Linked DNA regions of Cricetulus griseus. The protein of the gene in region 1 purifies or fractionates together with the protein of each later gene. This does not show direct contact. Links are inferred from orthologs where the notes say so. Each region holds a gene or a part of one and is shown in the gene's direction. Other genes may lie near its edges.

The links.
Region 2: the proteins of derlin-1 (region 1) and Serpina1 purify together in Homo sapiens (affinity purification with western blotting; 4 studies listed by BioGRID). This does not show direct contact. The link is inferred for Cricetulus griseus from reciprocal best matches to the Homo sapiens genes DERL1 and SERPINA1.
Region 3: the proteins of derlin-1 (region 1) and Rnf5 purify together in Homo sapiens (affinity purification with western blotting; 4 studies listed by BioGRID and IntAct, with this or other methods). This does not show direct contact. The link is inferred for Cricetulus griseus from reciprocal best matches to the Homo sapiens genes DERL1 and RNF5.

Annotation. Positions count from the first base shown.
Region 1 is NC_048603.1:29,780,657-29,784,167, forward strand, and holds part of derlin-1, read left to right. Parts: intron 1-1,242; coding exon 1,243-1,307; intron 1,308-2,215; coding exon 2,216-2,242; intron 2,243-2,835; coding exon 2,836-2,931; intron 2,932-3,511. UniProt on the Homo sapiens protein: Functional component of endoplasmic reticulum-associated degradation (ERAD) for misfolded lumenal proteins. Forms homotetramers which encircle a large channel traversing the endoplasmic reticulum (ER) membrane.
Region 2 is NC_048598.1:190,875,278-190,879,528, forward strand, and holds the start of Serpina1 (alpha-1-antitrypsin), read left to right. Parts: upstream 1-1,449; coding exon 1,450-2,080; intron 2,081-3,406; coding exon 3,407-3,677; intron 3,678-4,251.
Region 3 is NW_023276806.1:231,214,337-231,218,615, reverse strand, and holds the start of Rnf5 (E3 ubiquitin-protein ligase RNF5), read left to right. Parts: upstream 1-1,477; 5' UTR 1,478-1,555; coding exon 1,556-1,695; intron 1,696-4,093; coding exon 4,094-4,112; intron 4,113-4,279. UniProt on the Homo sapiens protein: Membrane-bound E3 ubiquitin-protein ligase that mediates ubiquitination of target proteins. May function together with E2 ubiquitin-conjugating enzymes UBE2D1/UBCH5A and UBE2D2/UBC4.

The DNA of each region.
Region 1 (3,511 bases):
CACCTGTATTTCATTATAGGGAGCCTTGAGCTAAGTGTCCTTACTGCTGAGCCTTTGAGGTAGGAGCGAGAGGGAGGCAAAGCAGAGGACGAGCGGAGGATGGTCCCTCCTTCCTCTGCCCTCCTTTCCATCTTGTGTCTTGAGAACAGGAACTTGCTGTGTGATATGGCCCTGGCTGGCCTTCTCCTTGCCGTCCTCAGCTTCCAGCAGGTGTACACTGCAAACCCTGTCACCCTCTTTTCTCTTTCTTTAAGACCCATCCTCTGTCTTTCTGATTCCTGTCTTAGGGGCCTGAAAACTTGACTGCCTGTGTCTTGTAGAGTGTGCAGGAGAGAAGGTAGCTTTTAGGCAGCTTTTGAGCTGGAGTGACTTTCTGGTCATTTTTGTATCTTCCTCTGCTTCTTTTCCAGTGCCCTGACTGAGGTGTGAGGATTTGTCCCTAGACCAGAGAGCTGACTGTTGGGTTTTCTCCCTAGGAATGAAGCATTCTTAGCAACAGTGCAGGCACAAAAGCACTAAATGATGCTTCCGACAAGTGTGTGACTTGAGTCGGGTGACTTTATTTTCTCACTTGGAAGTAAGGGGCTATAGACCTGTCCCTTGCACCTCACAGATGCCCTGTGGAGAAAGTCAGTTGTGGAGAGGTCTGGCCATTCCTTTGTCCGTCCGTTCTCTTCTGGTTGTTTTCCCTTGTTCCAGGTTGTAAGACCCTGTAATAGAGGCTGAATCTGCTCAGAGTGTCAGCCCTGGGTTGGACAAGTGGCAGTGCATCTGTCTGGTGTTAGTAGTGACAACAGCAGCAGCTAATGTCCCTGTCATAATAGCGGACTTCCAGCACAGTCGTGCTGCGGGAATGACAGTGGCAGCCAAAATGGACAAGGGTCTTGACGAGCTTTGGTCTGTAAGTGAGGACAGGAAGTAAGCTCGTATCAAGGTGTGCTCACTAGAGTATGTTAGGGCCACGAAGGCAAAGCCGGCAGGTCATGAGGAAAGTGAAAGGGCCTCACTGGTGTCCCGATGACTGTCCCCTTGGGTCTGGTTTAGCTTTCTGGAAGTCAGTCAGTAGAGCATGTGCCTGTGGTTCACTTTTATTGCCATGCTATAAACTTTGGAAAAAATTCACTTTTCTTTAAAGAAGAGATGTTAAATGTTTTAAATGAGATCTTGGGGAGAATTTTCTCCCTAGATGCTACTCTTTTCCACAGTTCTGCACTCTGATGCTTGCCTTGTGTTTGTTTCCAGGAGCTTTTGACGGGAGGCCAGCAGACTATTTGTTCATGCTCCTCTTTAACTGGATTTGCATCGTGGTATCCTTCAGGGCTATTCTGGCCCGGAAATGAGCTCCTCCATCCCCCTTTTTAACGTTTTGGGAAATAGAATTTTATAAAAACATTTAAATCACTTTTAATACCATTTTAAAAACTGTAGTTAAAGCTAGGGTAAATTGTAGGTTTTGGAGATGCCTCCTCTTAGCATTGCCTCTGGGATTTTTCCATATTCAATTGAGTTTTATTGCTGTCTCCTTGAGTCCAGTTCTCTGTGTTCTCTGGATGACAGTTTGTCAGCTGAAGCACAGAGACTCGGTGCCATGAGACAGCTTTTGAAATCTGTGGCTCTTACCAGAAAATTAATTTTCTGACTTCATTGCTGTATGCCTTTTGAGTCCTAAATAATAATCTAGTACCTCCATAAGGTCCCCTACTCTGGGCATAGTCCATCTCTCTTCGAGACACAGTTGATAAGCAAACAGTTGGCCTTGACTGCCATTTAAAGTTGGCCAAGAGCCAGAAAAATATAAGGCGAGGGATACACGCTCTCCTTTAAGAGAATGAAGAGAAAAAAAAAAAAGTTATGGGTTTATTCATGCTGTAAATCCCTGAGCATGAGCAGCATCATTTGTTTCAAATGCACAGACATCTCTACCCTGTACTTGTAGGAGAGATGCTAAAACAGTAGCAGGGTACCAAAAGGACCAAGTTGTGCTGCGGTGTTCATGTCTGTGTCTCCTGCTCTGCTGACTGTACAGGGTAGTGGGATATTTATGCCTGGTTATCAGAACTTTTGTGTGTTCCCATATGGTCGTAAGTAATCCAACTGATAGAAAAATGTTCTCCTTTGGAACAGTATACTGAAATTCCACTGGAGAGAAATAATCAGATCAACCTTGATATCCATAGAATACTTTCTACATATGATCTTTAACTTTAAAACCAAGATTACGGGCTTAGCAATGGATATGCAGGTAAGTCTCAACTCTCTGCTCTTCTGTGTGTTTCAGAAGTTGAGGTTAATTACATTGACCGTATAAAATGATAACTATTGTTATCTTGAATATGCTGTTAACTTAGCCTCTGAGGCTCTTGTAGGCGTTATCTAAATCATTGGCTTTTCTGTTTATTTCTGACTTATGCTTGAGCACTCAGAGTAATGGGTGTGCAGTATTCCCTAGGTAAGTGTGAGGTTAGGTAGTCTTTGAAAACAGATTATATGTGAAAGGAAAACTCCCCCTCCCCCAATTACAGCTTACACCGATGGCTTTGATTTCATGTAAGAACATTAACTATTGATTATAGATATTTTTATGGGATTCATTGTATGAACGTGATTTTAATGAGTGTCCTCTGCAGCCTTTGGGGTGAGCGGTGTGGCCGGCCGGCCTTTGGGGTGGGCAGTGTGGCCGGCCGGCCTTTGGGGTGGGCAGTGTGGCTGGCCGGCCTTTGGGGTGGGCGGTGTGGTTGGCCTTTGGGGTGGGCGGTGTGGCCGGCCTGCCGGCTGACACTAGCCGGTGGCACGAGCTCCTGGCGCGCTCAGAGGCTCCCATGTTGGCTTTTTCAGCTGCTGCTGATCCCCCTCATCATGTCCGTGCTCTACGTCTGGGCCCAGCTCAACAGAGACGTGATTGTGTCGTTTTGGTTTGGAACACGATTTAAGGTACTTCAACTAGGTGGGGCAAAACTCGTTTTTTGTCTTTGTAGTAATTCCCCCTAAGCTCCAATGTGTGCCTTCAGACACCTCCAGAAGGGGTCACTGCAGAGCAGTATAGCATAGTCAAATGTGGCCCCCCCACCCCCAATCCTGCTCCTAGCCATTCCAGCAGCCCTTGCTGGTATTGCTTCAGTAATCCCTCTGAACCTCAGGCTCCCCAGGGATATGATCTGTGTGTGTGTGTGGGGGGGGGCAGGGGGAGAAGAGAGGGGGAGAGGGAGAGAAGAGAAATTTGAAGACAGATAACATGCAGGAATCCTGCCGTTTCTTATCTTTTTGTCACTCCTGCACTTCCTTTTAGGTTCTAAATACTTTTCCTAGAATAGCACCCATGAGTGCTCCCTGAGCTTGCCATTGTCTACTGTAATGTCCTACTCTTTACAGATCTGAACATTGCTTGAGTCCCCTGCCGGGAATTAGACTCGTCTTGTCTGGGGATTCTGTAGTGCTCACCCACCTCAGTTAGCCTTCCAGCTGTTTATGTATAACCTTCTTTGTACTTGTTTGTGAAGTTCCCTGGAAGTTC
Region 2 (4,251 bases), on another chromosome or scaffold:
TGAACCCATCACACACATCCTCTCCCAGAATTAAAGCAGAGGCAGTAACTTCTGCTCTTCCAGAACTGAGACAGGAGTGGTGTCAAGATGGCAGATGGGCTGCCAGAGGGGGAGCCAACACAGCCTGGGGCTGGAATCACAGGGTAGAATGGTGACAGTCCCTCTTTCAGGGAAAGCCACCAGGGACTGAGGTTCCTTGTGGGCACTGAGTAGGGACAGTCTGTGTGTTCCTTCTCCTCTATAGACTGATTTTTATCTTACATGTAGAAGTGTTCTGCCTGCATGTATGTAAGTACACTGTATGCGTGTCCAGTGACTGAGGAGGCCGGAAGAAGGCACCAGACACCCTGAAACTGGCTACAGGGACGTTGTAATCTGCCATATAGGTCCTAGGACTCGAACCCAGGTCCTCTGCTAGAGCACCAAGGGCTCTTTCCTGCTGAGCCATCTCTCCAGCCCGCTTGGGTTTCTTCACAGCCTTAGACTTCCCCGTGTGCCCATTCATCTCTTCTCCTGTGACAATCACCACACCTTCAACATGGTCTCTCTGGGGAACAGAGGTGACAGCTGCACCCGGATTCTGGAGCTCATGATTTCCCCACCTTCAAGCGACTGTTAGTCCAGATCACCCCCTGCTCCCCTTGTCATTACTGACAAGTCCATTTCTCACCCCAGGCCTTGGTTTCCTCTTTGTAAAATGGGGCTGGGGCTTGTGGTTCGAGGTCATTGCTGGTGGAACTTGAACTGATGAGAGTACTGGTCAGGCACCAGACCACTCCTTGTGTGTGACTTAGACCTGCTGTGTTATTTGCTGTTTGTTGACTTTGAATGTGTGTCAACATGTCCCTTACCAGGGGAGTGATCATCTCCCTACAGGACCCTGGGAGTTCACACATGGGAGGACTCAGGACAGCACTGGCAGATGGAAAAAAGTCTGATCCTCTGCTCTCGCTCCCTCACTTGGTTTTCACACATGCCTGTGAGGTGTGAGCCTGTGTGCGGAAGTGTGCTGTGCGCATGTGCATACGGGGGGCTCACATTGATGTTGGGTGGTTTCCTCAACCACTCTCCACTTTATTGAGCTCTCAGTGATCCAAGAGCTCAGAGCTTCTGGTTAACAAGCCGGCCAGCTAGCCTCAAGGATCCCATCTCTGCCCAGCCCTGTCCCCCACCCCCATGCTTGGATTACAGATGGCTACTCTGCCCACATTTTCCAAACTCCTATTCTCACCCTTACATAACAAGTGCTTTATCTACAGAAATGCCTCTAGTTTTCTTTTTAACAGTCTCTTGTCAATTATAGCAATTTGAAATAGTGCTTGATATAGGCTGGGCATGCAGCAGCCGTTAATAGGCTGTGGTTGCTTTTGTATTGTGCCAAATGTTAGCTGATGGGAGTCACCACAGCCTCGATTCCTTGCAACATGCATTTCTGTGTCTTGCAGAAGAATGATGTCCTCCATCTCAAGGGGGATCTTGCTGCTGGTAGGCCTGTGCTGCCTGGTCCCCAGCTTCCTGGCTGAGGATGCCCAGGAGACAGATGCCTCCCAGCAGGATCAGGAGCACCAAGCCTGCTGTAAGATCGCTTCAAATCTGGCAGACTTCGCCTTAAGCCTGTACCGGGAGCTGGTCCATGAGTCCAATACGACCAACATCTTCTTCTCCCCCGTGAGCATTGCTACAGCCTTCGCTATGCTTTCTCTGGGCACCAAGGGTGCCACTCACACCCAGATTCTAGAAGGCCTGGAGTTCAACCTCACACAAATAGCAGAGGGTGAGATCCACAAGGGCTTCCATCACGTCCTCCAGACCCTCAACAAGCCAGACAATGAGCTTCAGCTGACCACAGGCAATGGCCTGTTCATCCACGACAATCTGAAGCTGGTGGCGACGTTCCTGGAAGAGGCCAAGAACAATTACCACTCAGAAGCCTTCTCCCTCAATTTCACAGACTCGGAAGAGGCCAAGAAAGTGATCAATGCTTTTGTGGAGAAGGGAACCCAGGGAAAGATAGTTGACTTAGTGAAGGACCTTGACAAAGACACAGTTCTTGCCATGGTGAATTACATTTTCTTTAAAGGTAAGATGACATAACCAGCTCCAGCTGATTCTCATGGAGACACTCATCCATGGTTTCTGAGCTCTCACTCTGGGCTGTGTCACTCTGTCCCATCACATCCCTGACTCTCCAGTGGGTACACTCTGTCATATTTTAAATCATCAGTAAGTTTGGGAATTGTCAACCATCAAATCCACTGACCTCTTTGAAGGACTGACTGTCCTCGTGCTCACTGAAGACCCCGACGAAGGAGTCTCAGAACACGAGATTCTTCCCCAACCTCAGAACCAAGTGTATCTGGTGGTATGAAGAGAGCCCTGCTCCATGAAACGTATTTTGAGCAGCTCTTTTGCTGCACACCAGTATGAACTCTGGAAACATGGGCTTAAATTTTGCTACTGCTGTCTTGATGTTGGACAAGCCATTTTACATGTTTGGGGTACGGCTGTCCATATGGCCAGGGACAAAGCTAGCCAACTGCTGTGAGGTGATGAAAGAATTAGTAAATACAGTATACACAGGGACGGTTTGGATGTAAGCACTTGATCAACTCTCCTTGACCCTAGCCACAGCCTCCTGCCTGGAAGTGGTTAGGTCAGGATTCTATGCTAAGCACCTGTACCCCAGAGAAAACATCTGAGGAGGGTCTGGGAGTCAAAGTCAGGAGCTTCTCTGCCCTTCGTGGCTCCTTTGCCTCTAAGCAGAGTCTTATGGAGCAGAATATCAGGCCATGGTCAGCATAGCTCAAGTCCTGGCTCTTCTGTGACAAGGGCAGATGTTAACTCCTCCCCAACCTCTTCCTATCCAATAATAAGGCAGGGTTAGGGCTCCTGATTCCATGCTCCTTCTGAGGGCCATTATGGTGGATCCCTGAGGGCCTTGCCTACTCTGCCAGCATTGGTGATGGGTCCCCGAGACCCCTACCCACTCCAATGACCTTGATGGTGTTCTTACACTTGAAATGGCCATCTACACTGAACCCATAGATGTAGAAAGGGACTTGAGGTGTCCTGAGTGACAACTGAACTCACACTTACCAATGAGCATGCCACCCTGATAAGAAGCTAGCAAATAGAATTGCTGTCAAGATTTCCACTTATAACCCCAGGTCACCTTTCAGTAAGCATGTAACACATCTAACAGGTGAAATGCTTTCTAGACAATGGGGATGGTAGCTGTGAGCTTCTGTGATCTGTAAAGTGTGAGTCCTTTAGTCCCAAGTTACCCTCATCAAAGTCCCTGGGCATTTTGAAGTCTAGTAGTGGTCCCCTGTGAAAAGTCAAGGCCCTGGGTCACCACTTCCCTGGCTGAGCCCTCTTCCTACTTCCTACTTCCCATACACTGCAGGCAAGTGGAAGAAGCCCTTCAGGGCAGAGAACACTGAGGAAGCTGACTTCCACGTGGACCAGAGCACCACGGTGAAGGTGCCCATGATGAAGCGCCTGGGCATGTTTGATGTGCACCATTGCAGCACTCTGTCCAGCTGGGTGCTGCTGATGGATTACTTGGGCAACGCCACTGCCATCTTCATCCTGCCTGATGAAGGCAAGATGCAGCATCTGGAGCAAACTCTCAACAAGGAAATCATTTCCAAGTTCCTGGAGAACAGACACACAAGGTGACTCCCCAGACAGAGACCTTTCCCTGAGTGTCCAATCCTGACCCAAAAGTCACAAAGTGCTGCCAGAGGGTGGACTCTATCCCAGGGCCACAGTTTAAGTGCATAACCTTGAGCTAAAATAAACCTTCATCTCAGACAGTGCCAGGTAGAGTCTGGGGAGGGACAGAGCTCCTGGTGAGAGAGCCCAGGCCCTGCTTTGGAGGGACTCCCATCCCCAGAGGACATAGTATTTTCTAACCCACAGCCCAGGGCTGCAATGTCAGCAGCGCTAGCATACATCATGACTGAACTAAGAACCAAGACTGGTCTCAAACCCTGGCCACAGCTGATGGTAGAGATTGAGGTGAGAAGTTTATAGGAGAGCCCAGGATAGTCTGCATGGACAGCCCTAAACAGCAAGGGGCCAGCAATAGAGAACCCTGGGCAGGTTTGCAGAAGGCTCTGTTCGTCTGTCACTCCTCAGTGGGGCTCCAGGTCCCAGCAGTCCTAGGGTCTTCTCCCCAGGTCAGAGGACCTGCTCTGAGCCCAGGCTCTGCTGCCTGTAGGATAAGGAACCCTGTGAGCTTCTGGC
Region 3 (4,279 bases), on another chromosome or scaffold:
TGTGTCAGGCTCGCCCCTTGCTCGCCCCCTCTGCCTCCATCTGTGTCAGGCTCGCCCCCCTGCCTCCATCAGTGTCAGGCTCGCCCCTTGCTCGCCCCCTCTGCCTCCATCAGTGTCAGGCTCGCCCCCCCCACCTCAGTCAGTGTGTCCGACCCCGCTGGCTCCCCGAAGCCTGTGCTGAGCGCCAGGCTCTCACCTGTCGGGGTTTGGAGCCACGGGCGCTTTCTATCGTGTGTGTCTCCCGCCCCGGGACACCTTTGCCCTGGATGAGTCCACACGGCGTGGTGGGAGGACTGTTACCTAATTCTGCGCCTTGGACCACACACTTTGGGTCACTGATTGTTGGAAGGGCCCCGGCTCTCGGAGCTGTGCGGCCAGGAAAAAGATCCAAAACTCTGCAGGGCAAGTGACAAGGAAGGGGCGGACCTACTCCATCCTGCCGCGGGCCACCCGAGGGGAGGGCCGGGCCCCCGGACGCCCACTCTCGGACGGTGGCGCCGGCCCTCCCGGGGTCACATCACACCGGGGGCGGCTGTGGCGGTCACCTAGAGAGGCCGAGCCGTCCAACCGCGGGAGCCGGGCTAACACCAGCGCGGCGCGCCGACGGCCGCACCATCCACTCGCCGGGCGAACCCCAGCTCTGCTCCCTGCTTGCCGAGGAGGGCGGGGCGGACCCGAGCGCTGCCCTCTGCGTCACCCAGGGAGCCCGGGGCCATCTTGAACCCCGCGACCCCGCTACCGCCGCCCTCTTCTCCCGAGCTCAGCACCGGCTCCTCTGCAGGCCTCGGCCAATCAGCGGCGAAGCAAACCGCCCAATCAAGCCGGGAGGGAGCCCCCGTCCGAGGACCCGGATGAGGCCGAGCCGAGGCCTTCGAACCCTCGGCCCCCCGCCAGCGGCGGCGCGGTTGCCATGGCGACGGGATGGAGTTGAACGGGGGGGGGGGGGGGGGACCGCCGGCGACTCCGCTCTCGCCGGGTTGGCGCGCTCGCCGCCCCTGCCCTCCCACCCCGTCCGCCTACTGCGCATGCTCGTTTCCCGTAGCCACGCCCCCCGTCGTGCCAGCCAATCATCGGACTTGGAACCGTACGCTCTGAAGTCCAATAGGAACCCGGACATTCTTCGAAAGCGGAAGAGAAGGAAAGAGAGCGGCTCCTAGTGGGCGAGTTCTGCCGGCCCGAGCCAATCCCGTCAGAGCTGTGGCTTTGACGGGCAGCTGCGTAAACGAATGAAGACCTCCCTGGCCGAGCTCATTATTACCAATCCCTCGGCACCGCATAGTGACTGAGGCTTCGCCAGCCAATCATCATCGTGCGAGGGCGGGACCCACACGTCCTTTTCCCGCCTCCGCCCTGTAGCTCAATCCCGTCCTTTGCCTCCTGCATGATTGGCAGGCGCCTCGACCAATAGTCATGAGAAAGCCTTGAAGTCTGCCCAACGACCGTGGGCAGGAGGCGGGCCTGGCGTGCTGGGGTGTGTGTGTGCGCGCTGTGTGAGCGTCTATGTGTGTGTGTCTGGGGGTGCCGAGGGGGACGTGGGGGCGAAGCACAACCGGCCATGGCAGCAGCGGAGGACGAGGACGGGGGCCCCGAAGGCCCAAACCGCGAGCGGGGCGGGGCGGGCGCGACCTTCGAATGTAATATTTGTCTGGAGACCGCTCGCGAGGCTGTGGTCAGCGTGTGCGGACACCTGTACTGGTGAGGGCCGCGCGGAGCGCGGGAGGGAGGGAGGGTGGGTGTGCAGAGGGCAGAGGGCAGAGGGCAGAGGGCAGCCGTCCGTCACACACGGGCACAGACACAGACACGCACACACGTACACATATATACATACATACACACAGACACGCACACACATATATACATACATACACACAGACACGCTCACAGACACAGACACGCACACACGTACACATATATACACACATACACACAGACACGCACACAGACACAGACACGCTCACAGACACAGACACGCACACACATATACATACACACACATACACACAGACACGCACACACTTATATACATACATACACACAGACACGCACACACATATACATACACACACACGCACACACTTATATACATACATACACGTACACACAGACATGCACACAGACACAGACACGCACACACGTACACTTACTTATATACATACATACACACAGACACGCTCACACGTATACATACATACACGTACACACAGACACGCACACACATACATACACGTACACACAGACACGCTCACACGTATATACATACACACACAGACACGCACACACTTATATACATACATACACATACACACAGACACGCACACAGACACAGACACGCACACACGTACACATATATACATACATACACGTACACACAGACACGCTCACACATATATACATACATACACACAGACACACAGACACATACACATATGTACACATACACACAGACACGCACACACATATATACATACATACATGTACACACAGACACGTTCACACATACATACATACACAGACACAGACACACATACATACACACAGACACGCACACACATATATACATACACACACAGACACGCTCACACATACACGTACACATACATACATACACATACATACACAAGACACACAGACACACACTCACAGACACACATATACATACACACACAGACACGCTCACACACATATATACACATACAGACACACGCTCACACAGACACACACTCACACACACCACACAGGCGCACACCCGGGAGGCCTGAGGTGGGCACTGGGGTCCCGGTGTGGGGAAAGCAGGGTGTCGGGAGGGGGTGGGGTGGGAGCGGGGACGCTGAGGTGTGGCCGAGCCCGAGGTTGACACAAACACACAGGACAGACTTTCCGGTCAGGGGAGCTGCTCCTCGTCAGAGGACGGCCGGACACAGGGACTGTGTGTGTGTCTGTGTGCTTGTGTGACAGAGTGTGTGCGTACGTGAGAGGGGTGTGAAGCCGGAGGGCAGAGGCCCTGTGAAGGGCAGACAGACAGAGGGACTTTGGCGCCTGATGTGACAGGAGGAGCAGCAGGGCTGTAAGGGAGGACGGAGCGGGGGCTGAAGAGAACCCTGTTGAGTTGGGAAATCAGGGTAAGAGGCAGAAAATAGACAGGCTGAGGCAGGGAGGTGCGCGCGCGTGTGTCACTGTGTGTGTGTCAGTGTGTGTGTGTGTATGTGCATGTGTGTGTGTGCGTGTGTCAGTGTGTGTGTCAGTGTGTGTCAGTGTGTGTGTGTATGTGCATGTGTGTCACTGTGTGTGTGTCAGTGTGTGTGTGTCAGTGTGTGTATGTGCGTGTGTGTGTGCGTGTGTGTGTGACACTGTGTGTGTGTCTGTGTGTGTGCGCGCGCGTGTGTGTCACTGTGTGTCACTGTGTGTGTCAGTGTGTGTGCGTGTGTGTCAGTGTGTGTGTCAGTGTGTGTGTCTGTGTGTGTGTGCGTGTCTGTCAGTGTGTGTGTCACTGTGTGTGTGTCACTGTGTGTCAGTGTGTGTCACTGTGTGTGTGTCAGTGTGTGTGTGTGTGTCACTGTGTGTCACTGTGTGTCACTGTGTGTGTCAGTGTGTGTGCGTGTGTGTCAGTGTGTGTGAGTGTCAGTGTGTGTGTCTGTGTGTGTGTGCGTGTCTGTCAGTGTGTGTGTCACTGTGTGTGTGTCACTGTGTGTGTCAGTGTGTGTCACTGTGTGTGTCAGTGTGTGTGCGTGTGTGTCACTGTGTGTGTCACTGTGTGTGTGTCAGTGTGTGTGTGTGTGTGTCACTGTGTGTGTGCAGACAGAGGGAGGGAGGGAGCAGAAACAATGTGTTGCACGGGAGAAGCCTGGGGCCCTGGGGACGAGGGCTGTTGTCGGGAGGGCTGTTGTCAGGAGGACGGTTGTTGGGAGAGCGGTTGTCGGAGAGCGGTTGTCGGCAGGATGGTTGTCGGGAGGACGGTTGTCAGGATGCCCTCGGTGACCGCAGGCTGTGGAGGCAGAAACAGCCGCAGTACCGGGGCGGCTGCTGCAGTGGGCACAGGGTGCCGGCTGTTTTCTGCCATGTGATGAGTTTTGTTTCTCTCCTCCTCCGTGTGCAGCTGGCCCTGTCTTCATCAGGTATGTGCTCCTGTGCTCCTGACATGGGCGGGGCGCGGGGTATGTGCTCCTGTGCTCCTGACATGGGCAGGGAGGGCGGGGAGGGCGGGGAGGGCGGGGAGGGCTCGGGGTATGTGCTCCTGTGCTCCTGTGCTCCTGACATGGGCGGGGAGGGCGGGGAGGGCTCC